2 linked regions of the Drosophila melanogaster genome follow. The protein of the gene in region 1 purifies or fractionates together with the protein of each later gene. This does not show direct contact. Each region holds a gene or a part of one and is shown on either strand. Other genes may lie near its edges. The genes, in order: smg and bard.

Region 1 (8,284 bases):
TTACGCTTAAATATGCAAAATACAATATGTGGTTCCGATTCTCAAACACAAACAGTGAAACATTGAAACTCTTTTCTGTTAAAGTTTAGTCTAGTGGTAGTTTCCGCCGTTGCGATTTCCTCTGGTGCAGTTACGGTTCAGCAAATATGTTCCTTTTAATTTAAAATAAATTATGTGTACGTGTATATATAAACATATTCATTATGTGACTACTACTTCATTCAGCAAGCCTAGTTTTGATTCGCGCAAACAATTATCAGCTCTCGTTTCTCAATTCTCACTTTTCAATTCCCTCTCCATCCAGCTTTCTTCCTTCTAGTTTTTATAGTTGCGAAAAGTAATCTTAGTCAGTCTCATGGTCACGATGCAGAGTTCATTTTATAATTTTTTACTAGATAAACCATTTTTCGTCGTCGTTCAGATCGGGGTATTTCTTTCATTTGGCGACGTTGTTGATAGTGAATGAAATAGTTGATGTTGTGATTGGGGTTTAGAATAGCGTAAAATGTTGATCAAATTTGGCCAAATTTTCCTAGGTAGAGAGAAGTTACTGTATTCTGTTGTTGCGATCTGTGTGTGTGTGTGTTGTGGGGCTTGGCTTGTTAGTTTAACTACATAAATGGCGACAACATTTACGAAACCTATACATTAATAACATTGACAGTAAGATGCCACGCCCCCGCTGACAACCGACATGGGATTACCGTCGGGGAGTGCAGCATGGGCTCCACAAGTTCATCGGCCAGCCGTTGGTCCTGCGAGCCCGAGTCAATTGATCATATCTTTGGGGGCGCCTTGGCATACAGTTAATAAACTTAACATTAAAACAAACTATCGTCTTACTAACTAAAAACGATTACAGAACGGGATGTGAAAGGAGACGCAGGGTGGACAACTTGACGCGACACAAAAATAGACACGAATCTTAAATATCTAAATATAAAAACATTTATGTTCGTTATGAAATCAAACATCAAACACGGCTCAAAGCTAAATGAACACAAAAACAGCTGGCAGCCTCAAATCTAACGCCATTACATGATGATTTCAAAACCCAGATAGCCCTGAATCTTGCTCAGTTCATTGCCTGTTCAGTCATTTGGCGACACAACGTCTCCAGCTGTTCTAGGCTCTTAAAGTCGTTCATCTTGTACTCGGTGACGTGGGGCGACATGCCCAGGCTGCCCAACGGTGACTGGGACAGGCAATGGTCTACGCCATGATTGTTGTTCTTGCTGCTTTGGTGACAGATATTGTGGACACAGGCACCACCACCACCATTGGAGCACAGACAGCTGCCACTGCCCACGGCGGCAGCAGCTGCTGCCAAAAGTTGCAACTGTTGCTGGTTAATCAAATTGTTGTTCAGCATGCTGTTGTTATTATTGTTGTTGATCAGGATCTGGGGCTGATCGTGCTGGTCCTGATTCTGGTTTGGATTACTAACCATCACAACAGCGGCCATGGTCTTCTTTGGTTGTTGCTCCGCACTGGACACTCCTCCGCTAAGTTTTCTCTGCTGCTGCTGCTGCTGCGACTGCTGATTGCGTTCCAATACCAGGTTGTCGTTAGATCCGTTGTTGGTGAGCACTCCCTGACCGGGCTTAAAGATCAATTGCTGCGGTTGCTGCGGACCTCCGGCCACCAGAATAAGATTATTCAGCGACCGGCGATGCGATTGTGGTGGCGTCTGCTGAGGCAGCGCTGGAAAGTGGTTGTGTTGCTGCAACATCTGTTGCATCTGCTGGGGATGATGATGCGACTTACTAGACGGCGGCGGTGGTGGCTGCTGCTGAGGATTACCCATGAAGCTTGGGTACGAGGAGCTCTTGTACTGCGGCTGATGGGATGGACCGCCGCCATAGCCGTTGTAGTCAAACTGTGGCAGAGGCGGCGGAGCCTGCTGCGAATGATGGGGCAGCGGGTGTGGCAGGCAATTTAGCGAAAAGTTTAGCATGTCGTTGGAGTTTTTGCGGTTGTTAATCCTATCGTTGCTGCCATTTTTAGTATCGCATTTGCGAGTCTTACCATTCCATCTAAAATAACAGCTCATTTTTAAAATGCATTACTTTTTATCTTATTGAAAACCTTACCTTGGCTTGTTAATGTTCCCATTGTTTGGCCCGACGCCGGCTGGCTTGACGTGATGCATTTTGGGAACCATGGAGATCTTCATTTTGGACAACTTAAACTTCAGGTCCTTGAGTTGACTGGCGTGATTCATAAATGCCTCGTTGTGGATAGAGCGGTCTAGAATCCACATAAGCACACCCAAAGTCTCGTCGTCTTGGACAGCATACGGATCCTGCTGCAACGTATTGGTCACAATGTCAATGACCTTAAGAAAACGCAGACCAATGTTTTCCTCCGGTGGTCCTGGAGACTCCAGTGGCTTCATTGGTGTCAGCACAATATTTGTTAGCTCCTCAACCGCCGTGCTCAGCTCCATTTGACCCGATAGCAGTTCTTGTTCTACCCGGTTAAGAATATTGGCCCGTTCCTTCAGCTTATCAATGCAAAGGGCAAGCTTGTGGGAGGCGCCCTTGGTGACGCCAACACTCTGCAGAAAGTCCTCGGTGATCAAGAGCATTTCCTCGTACGTCATGTTCTTGAACAGCTCGATGTACTTGTGCAGACGCAAGGATTTTAGCCAGAGTCCGATTCCCGACATGCCCACGTTGCGCGTGTGGAACTTAATATAATTGGGCTTGAATTCATCCAGACGAGTATCGGAACCGCTGTTCATCAAGGCGCCGCGCTGATGCTCAATCGATAAGGAAAAACTACGGGGCTTGTTGGCAAACTGTGCCAGATTCTCCGTTGAATTGGAGCAGTTGTCATTGACCGTGATCACCGATGAGTTAGACGAGCTGGAACAGCTAGAGATCGTTTGCGTGGTGAGGCTGTTAGAGCGCCGCGTCTTCAGGGCTGCAATCTTGCTGTCCAGGCTCCACCGGTTGATCTCTCCAAACTGATCGCCCACGTTTCCCATAAGGATCGAGGCATAGGGAGGAGGCTGAAGCAATTGCTGCTGAAGATTCGGCGGAGGTTGCGATCGATCCTCAACAGGATTTCCACCGTTACGTCCACAAAGGCTACTGCTGGCCAGACTACAGGCCTCACCCATGTCCGCCGTCACCGGGTCAAAATCGAGAATCTCCGTGCCATTCTTGCTAAATGACGTGTCATGATCGTCGCCACCAGCGATTCCCAACATAGAGCCTGCACCAGCGACCACACCGTTGACCAGGGAAGAGCTGCCCTCCAGCGACAGGCCGAGACTGTTCTGACTAGAAGCTAATTCGTTCAGGGTAATACCATTAAGATTATCACAGAGTGGATTGATCGACCCGCTGGAGCTGCCGCCTCCATTGCCACGCCAATCACCGGCCAATTTGTTTTGCAATTGCTTGCTGGGCGGGGCGATCGTTTGCCAGTCGTTGGTGCGTGAGGAACGGCTGCCGCTTGCGGGGCACAACGAGGATGAGGCCACCGACGAACAGGATGCTGTCGAAGAGCTGGTCGCCGAAGAGGAACAGCTACCACTGCCTGTTGAGCTACCACCAGCGACCAGTTGCGGCGAGGGCTGCAGGAAGTAACTGCGATTTGTCAGGCCCGCCGCAGCCGCTTGGATATGATCCTCCAAGTGACGCAGCCAAATGTTGAGCGAACGTCTGTCCTCGCTGGTGATAGCTGGATGGATGAGTAGGTACGAGAAGATCTGCTGCACCAACTCCGTGGGCACAATTTGCTGCATGGTGTCCTTGACGGCAACTGGTATAAGGGTCAGGTAGATAAGCTTGGCCTCCTCATTGCCCGGCTTCAGCAGAGGCAGCATGTTCAGTACTTCATGCAGAATGTCCTCCTTGCGGGCATACAGCTTCCGCTCGTCACACTGCGCCGATGTGGTGATCTGGAAGTCACTGCCGTAGCATGGCATCGAGTCCTTGTCGGACGACGAGGAGGACATGGCGTCGAGCAGGTCACATGGCTGGAACGTCTTGTAGGCGTTGAGTAGATTCTGCAGGTACACCGGATTGTTGGCATTGATGTCAATAACCACGCTGCTCAGATTGGTCTGGGAGGTGCCCAGGTTCTGGGTCAGGTTGCTGTCGATAGAATACTGTAGAAACTTGAGGCTCGGGTAGCGCAGCCGCTTGAGCAGCGCGTACATCACGACGGTTCGCTCGCAGTCGTTCCACTTCTCGAAGAGATTTGTCACTGTGGTCACCTGCTCGCAAAACAGCGCATTGGACGGCTGGCTCTGGCTGGGATTGGCGTTAGAATTGGGATTGCCATTGGCGTATGTCGCCGTCGTCGTGGCCGTTGATGTGGCCTCCTTGTGGGCTGCAGTAGGCGTTGATGTGGTTGGCTGCATCTCGTTGGATGCACTGTTAGAGTTATTGGTTTGGCCGCTGATGCCGGAGGTCATCGCGTTGTCAGTTCCAGTTGCGTACTTCATCTCGTTGTTAGTTGCTTCTTGTTTTTTGGGGATAGTTCTTACTATAGTTTATGGTATTGTATTTGTTACGGCTTCTTTGTGGTTATTTGGTTGCGTTGCTGCAAGTAAAGATAACGGGGTAGGATTAATAATTGAACTATTATGTAAAGCTAAACTTTGTGACTGTGGTAATACAATTTTTTTTATGCTCAATGAGCTGTATCATTCGCTTAAAGCCTAGTTTAGCCCAATCTAATCACTTCCATAGAAAAATACCACAATTCCGAACCACGTGATCCAATCAATAGCTTCTCCCTTATTCCATGGATTTGTCGCCATTGCTCCACTCGGGATTAGAGTGCCGTGCAGCGATAATAAAATAAACTTTAAGCCGCAAATAACGTTCGAATTTAATCAAATCAGTTTTCGCTAATTTGTTAAATTTACAAGCGCAATAGCAACAACAATTATCTGTAATTGACGAATGGAAATTAGCATTTGCTTGGTCGGCTGGCTTATCAGGAAAGCAAATAAACAAGCAACAAATATATAACACCTTCGATTCGCTTTGATGGCGCAAATGACGAGGGACGATAAATCAATAAAATAACAAACATTTCAAATACGAAATCGCTGATTTCGACTTGGCGGCGTTCGGATTTTGATTTCCGGGCGGGAAAGTAGAGCGGGGGCGAGAAGTTTGGTTAGGTTGTATTTTTTTTGCACAGTTTCGCGCTTTTCATTTAGTTTCGTTTGTGCCCATTTCGAATCTTGTTTCTTCTGCCGCCGTTGCTGTTGTTGTTATTATTGCTTTTACTCTGACGACTTTCTTCGATTTTTGTTGCCGTGTTTTCACAGTAAGCACACAAAACATTGAACAAATCAACGCATGGGAGTCAAAAAATTTGAAAATTAAAGTATCTATTTTTTAATGTAAAATGTAGTTTTAAGAGAAATTGCTGCATTTTATTTTTTTATCCTGGTTTACGACATCGAGTGTTGACTGTAATCTAAGCCAGAGACAGTGTAACTGACTGTGTATTGGTACCCCAACTTAAGTTAGTGTGTGTGAGCAAGCAGTAAAACATAACGGGCCCCAATTACTGCATTTAAAGCACATTCACTGCTATGGAATTTACCGATGTTAACTTCTTTGCTATTTAACGTAACGTTTTATATGAAATTTCACATTTCCCTGCGAGACTGGGAGCGCAAAAGAGTCGTTTGGGGCGACTCGATCTAACGGTACTTGTGCATGTCGATCTTTGAGGTTATGCGTCACTGCAATTGCTGTTGTTTTCTAACCGGCTTGCAAATAAAAAAATTACCGAAGTTCAACAAAAGTTCAAAGTTCAAAGATTGCAAGCACGCACACACACGCAAACGTAAAGGATACTGCAAACTCACACGCTCTTATATATTATCGTATTTTGGCTGCCCTTTCAGCAGTCGCGATCACAGGCGCTTGGCATATTCCGAACGCTTTTATTTACATATGTACGTTGCGAATAAATTTGATTATATCTGCAAAACTGCAGATCCAACCACACAGAACAGAAGAATTGGTTTAGCACAGCGAAGCTCAGCTGAAGACGAGAAGCTGCAGTGGGGAGCACCGCGGAGGAGGAGCGGCTGATGGCGAATGATTTGGCGCTGGCGTCAGCGATTTAGAAAGAAAATGGTGGAGCTGCAGAAGCAGCGCAGCGGCAGGCAGAGCGAAACGGGCGAAAAGGAGCGCGCGCCTTTTTTTTCTGACAGGATTGATGCTGATGCTGATGCTGCTACTGCTGTCAAGAAAATGGGGAGAGCACTCACTTACACGCACACACAGACGGAGACCTTGCTGCGCTCGTCGGCAGTGGTATGTGTGCGAGTGAGAGTGACACACTGAGCAATGCACGGGCAAAATTGCGGTAAATTACATGCATTACATTTAAGGGAGAGGGGTGGGGCTCCTGCGGGGTAAGCGGGTTTTGTTGTTTTCACCACACAGAGCAGCAGCGCACAGTACACAGAACACACAAGATTGGCCCCCAAAATCACGCCCCACCCACCTAGCCACGGTCGGCCAGACAACAAAAATATATAGCTACAGTGCGCTTGTGCCAAAATTCGTTCTATTTTTCAATTACCTTTTCGCCTTCTATTCGCCTGCTGCAAACCTTGAAATTATTTTCTGTTGCAATTCACAGTTTTGATTCGATCAGCACGAGAAACGAGCATATTTCGCTAATTTGATATGCTATCGGATCGCGTATTTATTAATTTATAATTTTCACCTTTGCTCGCGCGCGCGTTTGTGTGAGTGCGTATGTGTGTACTTTTTATTAGCACTTTTGGGCTTTAGCGTTGTTGTTTTTGCTAAACCATTACTTTTTTTTAGACACACAATTCATGGCGCTTACGCTCACAAACGCCCGATTACTGAGTACTGCGCACGGTTGCTGTTGCACTTGGTCGGATGCATGTTTCGCCAGCTAATCCATTTTTTCAGCAATTAATTAATTATTTATTCACGCGAACGCAGCGTTGCTAGTGCTGGAACAAAAATCGATGTGTACTCGATACAGTCGATCTTTCTTGCAAGCGGTTATCGGTTACTTTCCCTTGGTGATGGACGCTCAGTTGAGCAGCAAAGCTGCCCTAGGTTCGATGCCGTGCTCATGCAGCGCGGACTCAAACCACGGTTTTAGCTAGAAAATTGCCAACAAAAATGATCTCCGCGCTTTGGCCTATTTCTGTGGTTATTTGACAGTAAGCGGAGACGGTGACACTGTACCACCAATTGGAACAAAATAAGGATATTTTCTTTTTGCATTTTGCTCGATATGCAATGCAGAAAATATCCAGCGAGGCTCTGAATCAAGGCTCTGGGATAGCGTTCAGCTCGAGGAAGTGATTGAAACGATAAATACATCCCGGAACGGCCACAATCCCGACAAAAACAAACGCTCTGGTCAACAACAATACATCATCAACAAAATTCTTTCAACCTGCTGCAGAGCAAAATGTTTGCCCAAAACCAAAAGGCCAGCTTCCTGGAGCAGACAAAGGCGGCGCGGGAGGAGCGGGCACTGGAAAAGCGACGCGAACAGGCGGCCATCCTGCTGCAGTCCACGCTCAAGGGATATGCGGCGCGTAGGAAGTACCAGAAACGAATCATGTAAGTGTCTATCTACTTTTATGGAACATCCTAAATAGTAACCCGTTTTGCAGACTCGATTTCGATGCCATGTTCACTGAGAATCATGACGATAAGGATGCGGAACTGGAACTCGTGGCAAGCAACGTCTATCCGGTGCTTCGTCGCTACCTCACCCAGATCAGGCTGGACAAGAGCGATGTGCGTGCACGGGAGCGTCTGGAGCGCATCTGCCGTTACATCATCAAGGCAATGGAGTCGGAGAACACCAAGCTATCCTATGCCGCCCTCTGTCTTTTTAAGGAACGCAGCCTGCCCTGGATCGCGCACATCAAGATACTGCTCACGAACTGCCTGACATTGCTGCCGGAGCTGAAGCCGGAAAACCATGCCGACAGCTTGTCCCTTGCCCTATTTCTGCACACACTGGTAGTCTTCACGGCGCCCAAATCCTGGGCGATACTCAGGAATGCCCAGTTTGAGAAACTGCAGCCGGCCATGCAAAAAATCTGTTGTAATATTCAAGGTCATCTGGTGCAGCACGATTTTTACAAAATCATGCGGGTATGTTGTGACTTTTATTCTTTTAATAAGCTTATTCATGTTATTCTCCATATTATCATCCAGCTCGTTTTGATACGCGGCACTGTTCGCGAGGAGTTGTCTGTAAAGCCCGTCACCCTGGTGGCCATCATTACACT
Region 2 (4,125 bases), on another chromosome or scaffold:
ATCGGCTCACGTAATGTTGGAAAACGAAAGCAAAACTATGCTCTTTTTCCCAAAAGCCATATTTTTTTTCGAAGAGAAAAGTTATGTAAATCATTCAGCCAGGCGCACATTTTTTCAAAATTGCTTAATTTCCTTCACGTGCAAGTACGCATGGGATAGTTATCGTTTATAGTAGATATGTTATGGGATATTATGTTATAATCCAGAAGGCTAGACTACCCTGTGATTATCCTTTCCGATCGGAAACCTCATAAAACAAAGTTTACATATTCATTATGGAATAACCAAAATATTAACAATTACACACAAATTATAGTTAAACATCTATAATCTAGCTTATTTGAAAGCAGTTGTATTGCGCCAACCCTGAAGTAAGAGAGCCAAATCCCCAATGCCATGCCAAACTTCACTTCTTTTGGCCAGTTGGCCAATGGTCAGGAGTTTCGGTGATCGGGGAACTGAGCCGGACAGTCGGCAAAGAGCTTTGGGCACTTTGCGAACTCATTTTCCGACTCAATCAAATCAAATAATTTATGCCTCGCGAAATTAACTGGCCATGTGAGTGGAGGTCATGCCACATGTGAGGAGAGTCCAAGAAGCCATGACGGCAACTTGGGGCCCAAAGCACAGTTAAATCTTTTCGCTGGCCATAAAGTGTGTTGATTTTTCCATTTGCCAGACCCTAAAGCGCTGCAATGCGAAATAAATAAATGTTTGCCGTTGAAGGAGAGACCTCTTGGAAAATTGCCTGCAATCGGGGAGTGTTTGAGAATGAAAATGTGCGTTGCTTTTGATTTAGCCAGTGCGTCTTATTTATATACAATAGAAAATATAAAAAATTACAAAATTCATGAAAAAAAATATTTGTTTAGGAGTATATACAATTGGTAAAATTGTTGAGCTGTTATTCACTCAAAATCAAACTCGAAACCATCCTCCTGATATTCGTATTCGCTGCTGTCACAGGTGACCTGAACATATTTGTTGCTCTGCCAGTGATAATATTCCTCGGGTGTGAAGTTGCCCCACATCATGTCGCTGAACACCTGCAGTGGTCTGGGATTCCTTTCCTGATTGCGAATATTCACGAGCTTAGTAAGTTTCTCCCAGTTGCTGTGGTAGCCGTTCAGAGCCAAGTGCTCCAGATTGACGCACTCGGCGACCAGTTCCAGGAGCTGAGTCTCCCGCACAATCTCCCAGCCACTGAAGCTGAGCACCTCCATTTGTTGGCAGGGCATGTGCTGGCGATCCAGGAAGAAATCATTGTGGCACCAATTCTCGCATATCACCTTCCTCAGCTTGGGCAGTTCGAGGAGCAAACTTTGCTGCCACCGAGCTGGCAATTGAACCACTTCGTTGTTCAGGGCAATTCGGGTGATCCTTTCGCTTTTGGCCACCACAATCTGCTGGAAGATGGTCTCCTGATCTGCGTTCAATTGCCGCGAATCATCGAATCGCACGGATAGTTTCTGTAACTTGGGCAACTGCAGCACCTCCGATAGCATGCATTCTACGGTGCTCAAGTTGATTTTTAGCACTTCCAGATTGGGCAATTTGATGTCTGTGAGTCTCACACAACTGTCGAACTGATCGGTAATGTCAAGGACTCTCAAATTGGTCATTGTCAGACAGATATCCTGAATCCAGCGGCTATCCAATGGCACCGAATGGTACAAGGAGTTGAATACCAGCTCCTCCAACTTCTTGAAGCCACGCATATATAAGCCAGATAGATTCATGCAGGTCATTAGGCGCTTGAGATTGGGCAACATTACCGTCAAGTCGCGGATGTCCTCATCGACCACTGTGTTGGGATTGCCCGCCAATATGCAAGTGTCCACCTTGGGAAACTTGGTGATATTGATATCGCACAGGTGTGTGATATAGTCGTAGAATTCAGAAAAGGAACCAACGCCGTCGTGAACGTGCAGATCCGTGAAGCTATCAGCCATGTGTTCCATAAAGAAGACATAGTCATCGATGTCCAGGAGTCCAAGGAATGGTGTATTTGGACCGATGATCAGGTGCAGTCGCCTCTGCCAGAACTTGAGAATCTGTGGCATGAACTGTGGATAGGCCCTAGCCATGCGTACCTGATCGATCAGATTGTCGATCTCTTCGAAAATCTGCTCGAAAAATATAATGTGCAGGTTGTCGATGTAGTTCGGTTCAATTTCCTCCATCGGTGAACAGGTATTATTTTGCTGGGCAACCAGAGCGTCCTTGTAGAATGCGGTATTGTGCATTTGCGACATTGTATGTATTGTCTGTCAAATGTGATGACTGCTGTGTGTTGCTTCCTCGAAGGCTGCTGTTGGTTGAATGTGCTCTTGTTTTGATGAATCTAAGTTTTTATGCAAATTTAGGTAGTGCATTTAGTGAGGGAGTGAATCAGGTAGTAGTGGGGAAGGATTACCCAGTGTCCTTATCTCTTTTGCAGGCTAATCCTTTGGCAACAGCTGTGCCAGCTTTCAGTAGTAGTTACCTGTAGTTACCTGATCTGTAGGATCGCGCCATGATCGCGCCGGTCCTCATAAATTGCGCCGTCGTATACTGCCTGCAATTTGTAAGCCTGCGCTGTTGTTGTTGCTGCAGAAAAAAAACCCTATCTGTACAGTTATCGCTAGAGAGACTCACTAGTTTGCATATTACACGAACCCAGACGTGTTCCCAGCCAACTTCTCTAGCAACTGCCCTGTTCCAGTCCAGAATCTTGGCCGGATGCGTTGGACAAAACGTGGTCAGCATTCGGCTTTGCCTGGCTTGGCTTCTAGGAAATGCTAACAACTCTCGCAGAGGAATCGTAAACGAAGAACAGTCCCACCAAATGGAATAGAATAGAATGGAATGGATTCTGTGCGAGCTTCAACGATCTAATAATCAAAGCCATGTGTTTTTGTCTGGCAGCTTAGCGAGCGATTAGAGGAATCACAATCACAGAAGACACTGAAAAAGAAACTGCACAGTTTATTATCCGAAGAAATACATTTTCTTTTAAAGATACAGTGTTAGAATTATCTTTATATTAAGGGAGAAACGTAGCTGATGAAAACTGTCGAAGCGATTAAAAGCGAATCCTTTTCACTAAAGTATGTCCAAGGAATATATATGTTAAAAGTAAATGTTATAAGATCACAAACCTTTGTTAATAATATATTTAACATATAATAAATTGAAAAAATCATATATAGGAAAGTAAAATATAAAAATATCAAAAATTGAGGTACATTCTTAGTTTGATTTCCTTTAAAATCTAGTAAAATTTTGCTAGGATAGACTTAAGTACAATTATTAAATAATTTTTGTGAGTGTTGAAGAAGGTTCACACCGTTTCCCGGACAAACTTGTACAGTTGCCCTGCGTTTCCCATTGATAATTCTTGGATACCCTCTGTTGTCAATTGTCATTGGGTTGGCTTTTGTCCAGGGACTAATGGCATTGTTGTCAGCCTTGTGTGCGTCTATGGCCTGTCAAAGCATAAAACTGGGCAACAGACAATGCTGACAATCTTGAGCGGGGAGCCAACTTCTTAATGTAGATATAATGCACATTTCTATTTTGGCCCGGTTGGTGAAAATATTTTCATTTGTTCATATTTTTCAACAACTTTGTTGGCTACACCTCAAATCTGATGTTTATGAATTCTCAGCGACTCTGTTTTCTTCTTTTGGGAAAACGTTGCTTCACACGAGATTTGGAAAACGGGTTGGGGTATATCTCTGATGCAAATGCACTTGTCTCTGGTATTCGTTTTTTTCGGCTATAATATACTTTTTTTTTTTTTTTTGGTTGGTCTCTGTTTGACTGTCTTATCTGAGATCAGTGTCGATCAAGGCAGCAGACGAATTGGGAAACATGACATACCGAAGTATGTGTATGTATGTGTATATGTATGAGGGACTCGAGACTGTTTTAATAATTTTGACGTAATCACATCACAACAATCTACCGTGGAGGCTGTTGGCTTTTGACTTTTCCTGACTCCCAAGTGGACAGTTCTTTTTAGCCTCGATCTCTGCCTGATTTGTTCATTTAAATGAATTACAATATTTTATCTTTACACAGAGATCGTTGGAGCTTAAAACGCTGTTCACATACATATCTCCTTTGCATTATTTGCAGGTA

Evidence for each region.
Region 2: the proteins of smg (region 1) and bard purify together in Drosophila melanogaster (affinity purification with mass spectrometry, with the first as the bait; one study listed by BioGRID). This does not show direct contact.

What each region holds. Positions count from the first base shown.
Region 1 is NT_037436.4:8,991,006-8,999,289, forward strand, and holds the start of smg (smaug), read right to left. Parts: upstream 6,090-8,284; 5' UTR 5,849-6,089; intron 5,567-5,848; exon of another isoform or gene 5,477-5,566; intron 5,245-5,476; exon of another isoform or gene 5,057-5,244; intron 4,913-5,056; exon of another isoform or gene 4,718-4,912; intron 4,561-4,717; 5' UTR 4,463-4,560; coding exon 2,094-4,462; intron 2,037-2,093; coding exon 1,076-2,036; 3' UTR 1,039-1,075; intron 533-1,038; coding exon of another isoform or gene 491-532; 3' UTR 1-490. Other genes in the region: CG5087 (uncharacterized protein), read left to right, coding at 7,450-7,604, 7,658-8,147, 8,211-8,284. UniProt on the Drosophila melanogaster protein: Translation regulator that binds to the 3'-UTR of specific mRNAs such as nanos (nos) and prevents their translation. Prevents translation of unlocalized nanos in the bulk cytoplasm via the recruitment of cup.
Region 2 is NT_033777.3:18,079,251-18,083,375, reverse strand, and holds bard (bard), read right to left. Parts: upstream 2,329-4,125; 5' UTR 2,256-2,328; coding exon 909-2,255; 3' UTR 793-908; downstream 1-792.